Daphnia pulex: one gene and its partner. The protein of the gene in region 2 purifies or fractionates together with the protein of the main gene of each other region. This does not show direct contact. Links are inferred from orthologs where the notes say so. Each region holds a gene or a part of one and is shown on either strand. Other genes may lie near its edges.

Region 1 (4,087 bases), on a different chromosome or scaffold from region 2:
ATCGTTCAATATATGCCCTACTACTTGCTTACCTTGGCCGCTCTCGACTCATTTGATCTTGCAATGATATATTTAAAACACACACACACACACGATGCATTCGGCCTTTGATTCAATTGTTGAAAGATGAACAAGCCAATCAACATGTTCCTCCATTTTTGTGATACTTAGGCAATTCATATGATCACCAACCATTATTTGCTTGCTTTTTTTCATAACATACCACTATTAATGAATTGTGGGAAAGCTATTATACAATTTGTAAAGAGTGTTTCAATCACATGCGTTTCTTCAATTTCTATTGCATTTCTACTAACTCCACGATGTGCAGCAATTTTATAGATTATTAACTCACGCCTAGTCCCTATGACGTGCCTTTTTTTATTGATAGAGAATTAAATAATAAACGATATTTTTAAACAACACCTGATCTTCATTCATTTAATAAATAATAAAAATTATCGAATTAATATAATTGAAATTCCCTAGATGCTCTACAATTTGGCGACGTGGAACTCAATATACCTATCCTCCCGCCTCCCCCCTTAAGCCAGGCACGAGTAAGCCCTGAAGGGATGTTTCATTACCTCTAACCGCCACCAGGAGGACTAAACAGAGACTTCGACTACTATCTCTACTCAGATCCCTTTCGACTCTCGCGCAAAATAGATAGACATTGTTCCCGAACATTGACACACTTGTTAATTATTTTCCAATTTAGTCAACATCTTCGTAAGGTTGGTATATTTTCTTCTCTTAATTTCTTCATTTTGAGTGATGTCAATTGTTGAATATTATCCAAGTTTTGTTTTGCTTGCTCTAACTTGTTTGTCACGACCCTCCCCCTATCTGTGGACTGACTCACTCACAAACAGTCGCTGCTTTGCTTTCGATGCGTAGAGCGCCATAGTGAACACTGTTTCTCAGATAAACCAATTCTTTATCCGTTGACATCCTTGCTCGTGTTTAAAAACTTGTCTATTATATCTCAACTACTGGTCTACTAGGTCAGTTTGTCATTTGCTGAGATTTATTTTATTCGAAATTGAATGCTTCAGTGTTACACGATCAAAAGTCTTTGTGTATATGGACGCCGATTCTGTTGACTTACCGCCATTGACAGATTCGATTTTTCTCATTTTATTTCAGGTTTAGTAAGCGACGTTTGTATGTGCACAGAAGACTGAAGCCATAGTTCCTGCTTCTTTGGTTTCACGTTATTTTCGTTTGCAGAAATCGTTCGCCTTCGTTGGAGAAACTTAAGTTCAAGTGATCGTTGTTGAAGAAGGAATTCGGCATTTTGCTCGAAAGTTTTGTTAAGTAAGAAGAAAAAGAAAAGAAGAGAAAACCATGGCAGAAGCCGTTGCTAGTCAGCCAAGCTTAGTGGCCAACAATCATGCCCTTTCGCCGATGAGACCCAGTCCTCAGCCGCTAATTGCGAAGCAGTAAGTCTTAAAAATCATGTGTTCTTTGTTCGTATTTCATGACTGTTTTTGTTAATATTTTAGAGAGAATAACTCTGACAATTTCTGGAAGTCTCAGTTGAAGATCCCACCCAAGGATCGTAGAAAACAGACTAGCGTAATATTCTTTCATTCAAACATCTATGAGAGTTGGGGGTTAAATTTTTGGTTTAATTTCAGGATGTTACCAACACTAAGGGAACAAGTTTTGAAGACTTTTGTCTGAAGCGTGAATTGTTGATGGGTATCTTTGAAAAGGGATGGGAGACACCTTCACCCATTCAAGAGGTTGGAATTCCTATGGCTCTGACTGGGCGTAATATCCTGGCTCGTGCTAAGAATGGAACTGGAAAAACAGGTGCTTATTGTATACCAGTATTGGAACAAGTAGTTCCGTCTGAGCAACACATCCAAGGTACTGACAAGTTTAAGTTTTTCTTACAGTTCTGGGCCTAATTTTTTTTTCTTTGTAGCATTAATTGTTGTGCCAACACGTGAACTGGCATTGCAAACAAGCCAAATCTGCATTGAACTAGCTAAACATTTGGATATTCGTATCATGGTGACTACTGGTGGTACTGACCTGAAAGATGACATTATGAGGATCTTTGGAAAAGGTATTCATTATTCCTTGTTTACTTCCATGCAAGTTTTAACAATCATTGTTTCTTCCAGTTCATGTTGTGATTGCCACTCCTGGTCGTGTTTTGGATCTGATGGAAAAGAAGATTGCGGTAATGGACCGTTGTAAGGTCCTTGTTTTGGATGAGGTATGTGGGAATTATTAAGAGTTCTGTTAGACGATTGTTCTTATTCTTTTGTGTAACTAGGCTGACAAACTGCTCTCTCAAGACTTCATGGGAATGTTGGATCGTATAATTTCGTTCCTACCAGCCAAGCGCCAAATTTTGCTTTATTCGGCAACTTTCCCTGTAACTGTCGAGGAGTTTATGGTAGGTTTATTGGTTCTTGTAATTTGGTTCTTGATTTAACAATGATTGTATCCACAGAGGAAACACATTGATAACCCATATGAAATCAATTTGATGGAAGAACTAACACTGAAAGGTGTCACGCAATACTACGCTTTTGTCCAAGAACGGCAAAAAGTGCACTGCCTCAATACGCTGTTTTCTAAAGTAAGTAAAGGTTTATTTAGATTTTCAGTATAAGACTGATGAGTTATTGTTGGATTCCCCTTCTCTCGTCTGAGAGAAAATCAACACCTGATTTTACTTGAATTAATTTTAACTGCTGTGTTTTAAAGTCACGATATTAATATCTGTGTTGATATTATAGTTGCAGATCAATCAAAGTATTATCTTCTGCAACTCCACTCAACGTGTGGAACTTTTGGCTAAGAAGATCACTGAGCTGGGCTACTCGTGCTATTACATTCATGCCCGTATGCAGCAAGCTCACAGAAACCGCGTCTTCCATGATTTCCGTAATGGGCTGTGCCGTAACCTCGTGTGCTCCGGTAAGATTTGCTTCATCTTTGTAATGTTAAGTGCTCGACTGTTATGATGAACTTTTTGTTGGATTCCCCTTCTTTCGTCTGAAAGAAAATCAACATCTGATTCATTTAATAATGTGAAGCCAAGAAGAGAAAAGGATGTTGAAACTAATCTTTTGCGTTTTTATAACAGATTTGTTCACTCGTGGTATTGACATTCAAGCTGTGAACGTGGTCATCAACTTCGACTTTCCCAAGATGGCTGAAACTTACCTGCACAGGATTGGTCGTTCGGGTCGGTTTGGACACCTGGGTATTGCTATCAATCTGATTACTTATGAAGATCGTTTCGCCCTGCATCGCATTGAGAGTGAACTTAGCACTGAAATCAAGCCCATTCCTAAGGTTAGTCTTGGATATCTCGTGCAAGTATTCATTGTATTTACATTGTTTTATTTTTTCAATGAAGGTCATTGACAAATCCCTCTACGTGGCCGAGTTCCAAGAAGATTCCGAGGAGCAATCAGGAAAGTAAAAAGGCGAGAGAATGTCTTCGAAAAGCGCATGCATCACACAACGTCATGATAGGACACAAAAAAAAATTGAGAAAAAAGAAAAGAAAATGAATCCTGTAAGTGAAATTTATGAAAGGTCGTTCACTGGGACCAATGTATTGAAGATCAGAATTAATGAAAAGCACTCATTAGCAATTGGAGGAGTGCTGCAGCATGTAGGGAAAAAAACCATTGTACAAGAGTAAAAACAAGGATAACTTTAAGCATGCGCTATCGAAAGACTGTTGTAAATATGTAAATTCTCACGGTGGCGAAGAGCCAGTTTTTTTTTCAGTTTAGGAGAAAAGTTTTTGTTTTGTTTTTTTGGGTACAATGTTTTGCGTGAATGGATGTGTGAACGTCGAAGGCTAAAGCGTTAGGGCGGCAGGTTCCGTAAAAGATGAGATTCCGTCAGGGAGTAAGTATGTGAAATGAAGTTTGGGGGGGTCAGCTTGGTACACTTTGCATTGCTTTTGGAATGGAAGAATCTCGCTCCCAAAAGCAGTCCACTGGTGATGTTACAATGGCTCCCTCGTCGAGGAAAGTTTCACCGATATAAGACTTGAAAGCCGCCCGTTACATTTTATATACATAATCTAGCCGACCCACTACCT
Region 2 (4,581 bases):
AGGGATTCAGCAGTTGCCAATAGAGTAGCATGTGGATGAGGATAAGTTAGAATTAACTTTGGAGCGAAAAGTCAAGGTTTACGTGTCTGACTCATCGAAGCGGAAAAACTATTTTCCCACACAATGCAGTTGAACAAATCTACCAAAACACTTTGCTGTCAAAGCTTGAGGTTTCACAAAATCAAATTCAGATTTCAACCAACAGATTTATAGAATGAAAAAAAAAAGTGAGCGATTCGTCTCGAGGAACAGAAGTTTCATAGACGAACAATTGCCTCGATCTTGGTCAATTACTTAAATCCCGTTTAAATTTAAGAGCTGGTAAAGAAATTTAACATAAAAAATGGTCAAATAACAAAAAACGGCAGCACTTTCTTTAAGGCGCGCAAATTTTGTACTTAGTTAACTGACTAAATATTACATGTGGTTGCAGTAATTTTCCTATAACCCAAAATTATTGAAAACAGATTCAAAACTCGGGACAAAAAAAAACGGGATGGAAAAGTATTAAGACCGAGATCGAGCACAAAGGTTTGGCTACACATTTTCTGCACAAATGGTTCGTAATCAAGCACACGTGTTGACGAGAGCAATGCGGAGGGATGTAAAGCCATAGCTCAGGTCCTTTACACGATAATAAAGAAAAAAAAAATATCGTTTCGACCCGCTTACAACCGACGAATTTTCCAATCAAAATTAAATTAAGACAATTCCCTCTTGTTTTACGCTAGAGTTAACAATTCTAGTCATTATTTGTAATTTTAGGTGGAGAAGGACGACCAAGAAAAGAAACGCTAAGTGTCACCCAACAATGACGTCTTGGTATCGAGACAAAAACAAAATGTAGAGGAATAAGCCAGGGATGATTAAATTCCCGTCCGATTCCCCATCATTCCCCACCCTATGCGTACGCTCCCTTCTTGAGTCATCATGAATTTACGCGTTGCTCTCATTACTAGTGGCATTCATAGACTGCCCTTCAACCTGAAAATAAAAATTTTGTGTGTAAGTTATCTGCAGCTAAAAAAAAAGTTTCGTAAAATACTGACCTTTCCTTCAATTCCCTCTCCGGAGCGTGGTCTGGCACCACGGCTGCGTCCGCCACGTCGACCTCTGAAAGGACGTCCGCGATACCCCCCACGAATGTCGCCAGAGCCGTCTTCTTGAACTCCTTCGGATGATTCTTGTCCAACTCCTTGATCGGAACGTGCTCCACGTCCACGTCCGTAGTAGCCACGAGCGCGAGCGCGAGCCCGAGGACGACCACTTCCTCGGACACCATCACGAAGACCTCCACGAGAACCACGAGATTTGTTTTCTTCTCCACCCTCCTTTAACACAAAAAAATATTAGAATCTTACGTTTCGCACATAAGGGATAAAAAGAAATCATTTACTTGATCAGCATCGCCATCCATATGAGACTTGTCACCAGAAACTTCTTCGCCTTCTGTGTTCTTACGGGGACGATTAAAATATCGAGGACGGTAGCTTACTCCACGATAACGGCCACGGAAACGTCCACGAGAAGAACCTTCTCGTGGAGCATTTGATTCATCATTCTCTTCATCTCCCTCTCCGCGTTCTTCCGAATGATCTTTACCTTCTATAAAGTGGAAAGTTTTAAGAAAAATTCCTTTAACTTGAGATTTGCATTGTGTTACCCTCATCTCCTTCACGACGTGATCCTCTTGGCCTGCGTCGATACCCACTACCTAACCCACCAGTACCCCCAGCTCCACGTCTACGGTAGCCGTACCCACCAGGACCACGCCGATCGGCAGCATATGGAGAACCCTATGAAAGAAAAGAAAATTATACCAAGTGCTATTTAAAACACTCGAAATTTTGAATTATTACCTTTACTGGTTCACCTTCTGGCCCAGTAACATTAGCTGCTTCATGGCCCTTCTCACCAACAACCACATCAAACTCGACAATTTCTCCATCCCCAACACTTCTAACAGCTTTCCTGGGGTTGTTACGGGAAATGGCCGTCTGCAAGAAAAGTCAGCAATTATGTACTTGAGCATAAAAGACTTGATTAAAAAATAAATACCTGGTGGACAAAGATGTCTTCTTTGGTGTCATTGCTGAAAAAAAAAACATAATAAATTAATAAACTTTGTCTCGGAAGTTCTAAATTTCCATAAATATCTTAAATGCAGGATCATGAAAACATATAATTTTTCCAAAAGGATTATAAACTTTTTTTTTACCGATTGATGAAGCCATATCCACTCTTCACATTGAACCATTTGACCACGCCCGTCACTTTGGTAGCTGAAAAAGAAAGATAAATTATTATTACTAACCCAACTAAAGAAAATCGTCAAGCCGAAAAACAAAACACTATTGCAAGCTATTGGCATAGCATCGTCATGGCGGCTATCGTAAACCGAAGCGTCCTCCATGATGTGTTCGCACCACGCCGGTGCGGGCCATTTTATTTTTATGAAATCACAATTACTTAATTCTACAATGTCTTACCAATGACTTGCTTTTCCGGGGCAGCCTTCTGCTGTTCGGGCTGGTTTTCCGGGTCGGCCATGATGTTTAAATTGGCTAAAGATGGTAAAAGGACCCACACTCCTTGATGGTAGCACTGCACGCCCTTCCTTTTGATCTATCAGTCGTTCTTCTGTTTCTGCAGACGCTCTACAGTGGTGCCACTTCTGCAGAAGTCCACGCTAACTCACTAGCATCAAAACTATCGATAGATAGTGCAATTCTAATGCGCGATTCGGCGATAGTATAAAGCATTCTTTTTTGTATCTTATTCATTTCTTGAAATATTATCAAAAGTTTCGAAGCATTCTAAGATTTATGATTGATTTTTCATTTACCGATTACGAATTCTACGTACATTTATTTTTATCTTGAAATAACAAAATTTGGTTTTTCCTAGACTGGCAAGATAAACCTAAAGACAGGCCAAGTTAGGTTTTTACTACAATTGAAAATGAAGTCTTAAATCTATTGAAGTAAAATTTAGAATTACTATAATTTTGAAAGAAGTTGAATGTAAGTTTCCGTATTTTTTCTCTCCACTATTTCTTTATTTTATTGCTTTTATTATTTCAGCATGATGAAGTACATAAAGGGCGACAAAGGGAAGTAACGGCCTAACGGGGGTACTCTTTTTCCATTGGATGGATTGGAAAGCCTGTTATACGCTTGGTGAGCTCTAGAGATGGCGTTTCGGCTTCGGTTCAAAATTAGATTATTTTTTTTTTCATATTTTAGGAAGCAAAGGCACGCCCCAAGCCCAAGGTGAAAAGGCACAATATATTCAAATTCAATTATGTTTTGTTCAAATTTTTTTTTATCATTTTAATAATATCATATATCATAATGGTTAAAGTAATGCTGATGGCAAACTGCTTAGAAATGCACAGATTACGCAATTCACTAAGGGTTTTGTAATATTTATATTTCTATGACACAAATTTTACTTTCTAGTGCAAGAATCTTCCCTGATTAAAATAAGAAATGAATTAAGTTCTTATAACTAAACTGTTATTTAACTAGAACAATAAAATTACACTCATCACTTGAAATCGTCAAATTCTTTATTGATATTGAATTCGAACGACAAACCTTTTAAGGAACACTGTACGTCAAAAGCGAATATAAGCATGATAATTGAGAAATTTAACAAAAGACTTGGTGGCAGATGCCAAACTGCAATCGCATCGTAGCTAGTTTCTGTTATCCTCACGTGTTGGTGTGTGTGATACATGATACATTATAATGCCAAGGTATTCGCAGGGCAATACTTGTTTGTTTGTTTTTTTTTTTTACTTAATTACAATTTTCCATTTTTACATTCATCGGCGAGGAAATGGGAAATATTACCAATAACATTCCAGTGTCTTATTATATAGCGTGTAAAATAGAATGAGGGAGAAAAAAAGATCAACGCAATAGTGGCTAAAACAAATTTTTCTTAGGTTTTTTTCGTAAAATAGGGCTGTTTCATACGTCACCTCATTTCACATTCTTTCCTCAACAAAAAATGCCGAGTTGAATCATTTAAAATTGGATAGTGTACTTTGAAGAAATTTTATGGACGATCAAGGCAAAAACATTGCAAAAGAAACCTTCGGCTGAGAAGTTAATGTTAAAGGCACAAAAGGTCTGATTTCACTTGATGAAGGTTGTAATGAAAATGACACATCGATGCTCAACTGATTACTCAATATTTTCGAACTGTGCGCAAGCTAATTAGTCTCATACATCTTTACAGCAAAAGAAGAAAAAGAAAAAAACTTAAGATTGAAAAACCAAAGAAAAAATAAGCTCAGCAACAAACGTTTACAGAATAAATTAGGGTATAAATGAAATTGTATCTACAGTACAAGTGATTTTCAATTATATTATTAAAAGTTAAATGAAGAAAAACTCACTCAGTGCATCAGTAAGTGTCCGCAACAGTGTATCATGAGAGATTCCGACGTTTTCAGTGAAGTGAAACTAATTTTACTTTACAATACATCGCGGTGCCAAATCCATTTCTTGCTGGTGTGATCAAACCGATGGGATAACCATTGGCTTTGTAGCAATGCGTAACGTTCCTTAC

Evidence for each region.
Region 1: the proteins of Y-box factor homolog (region 2) and ATP-dependent RNA helicase me31b-like purify together in Drosophila melanogaster (affinity purification with western blotting; 3 studies listed by BioGRID, with this or other methods). This does not show direct contact. The link is inferred for Daphnia pulex from reciprocal best matches to the Drosophila melanogaster genes yps and me31B.

The regions. Positions count from the first base shown.
Region 1 is NC_060018.1:12,397,562-12,401,648, reverse strand, and holds ATP-dependent RNA helicase me31b-like, read left to right. Parts: upstream 1-1,350; coding exon 1,351-1,445; intron 1,446-1,508; coding exon 1,509-1,581; intron 1,582-1,643; coding exon 1,644-1,878; intron 1,879-1,936; coding exon 1,937-2,080; intron 2,081-2,138; coding exon 2,139-2,233; intron 2,234-2,293; coding exon 2,294-2,416; intron 2,417-2,473; coding exon 2,474-2,602; intron 2,603-2,762; coding exon 2,763-2,943; intron 2,944-3,112; coding exon 3,113-3,324; intron 3,325-3,388; coding exon 3,389-3,454; downstream 3,455-4,087. Other genes in the region: tyrosine-protein phosphatase non-receptor type 14-like, read left to right, coding at 1-56. UniProt on the Drosophila melanogaster protein: ATP-dependent RNA helicase which is a core component of a variety of ribonucleoprotein complexes (RNPs) that play critical roles in translational repression and mRNA decapping during embryogenesis, oogenesis, neurogenesis and neurotransmission.
Region 2 is NC_060017.1:4,193,637-4,198,217, reverse strand, and holds the start of Y-box factor homolog, read right to left. Parts: upstream 2,947-4,581; 5' UTR 2,551-2,946; coding exon 2,490-2,550; intron 2,283-2,489; coding exon 2,219-2,282; intron 2,093-2,218; coding exon 2,059-2,092; intron 1,998-2,058; coding exon 1,860-1,997; intron 1,797-1,859; coding exon 1,664-1,796; intron 1,606-1,663; coding exon 1,397-1,605; intron 1,332-1,396; coding exon 1,050-1,331; intron 985-1,049; coding exon 937-984; 3' UTR 1-936. Other genes in the region: E3 ubiquitin-protein ligase UBR3-like, read right to left, coding at 4,487-4,581.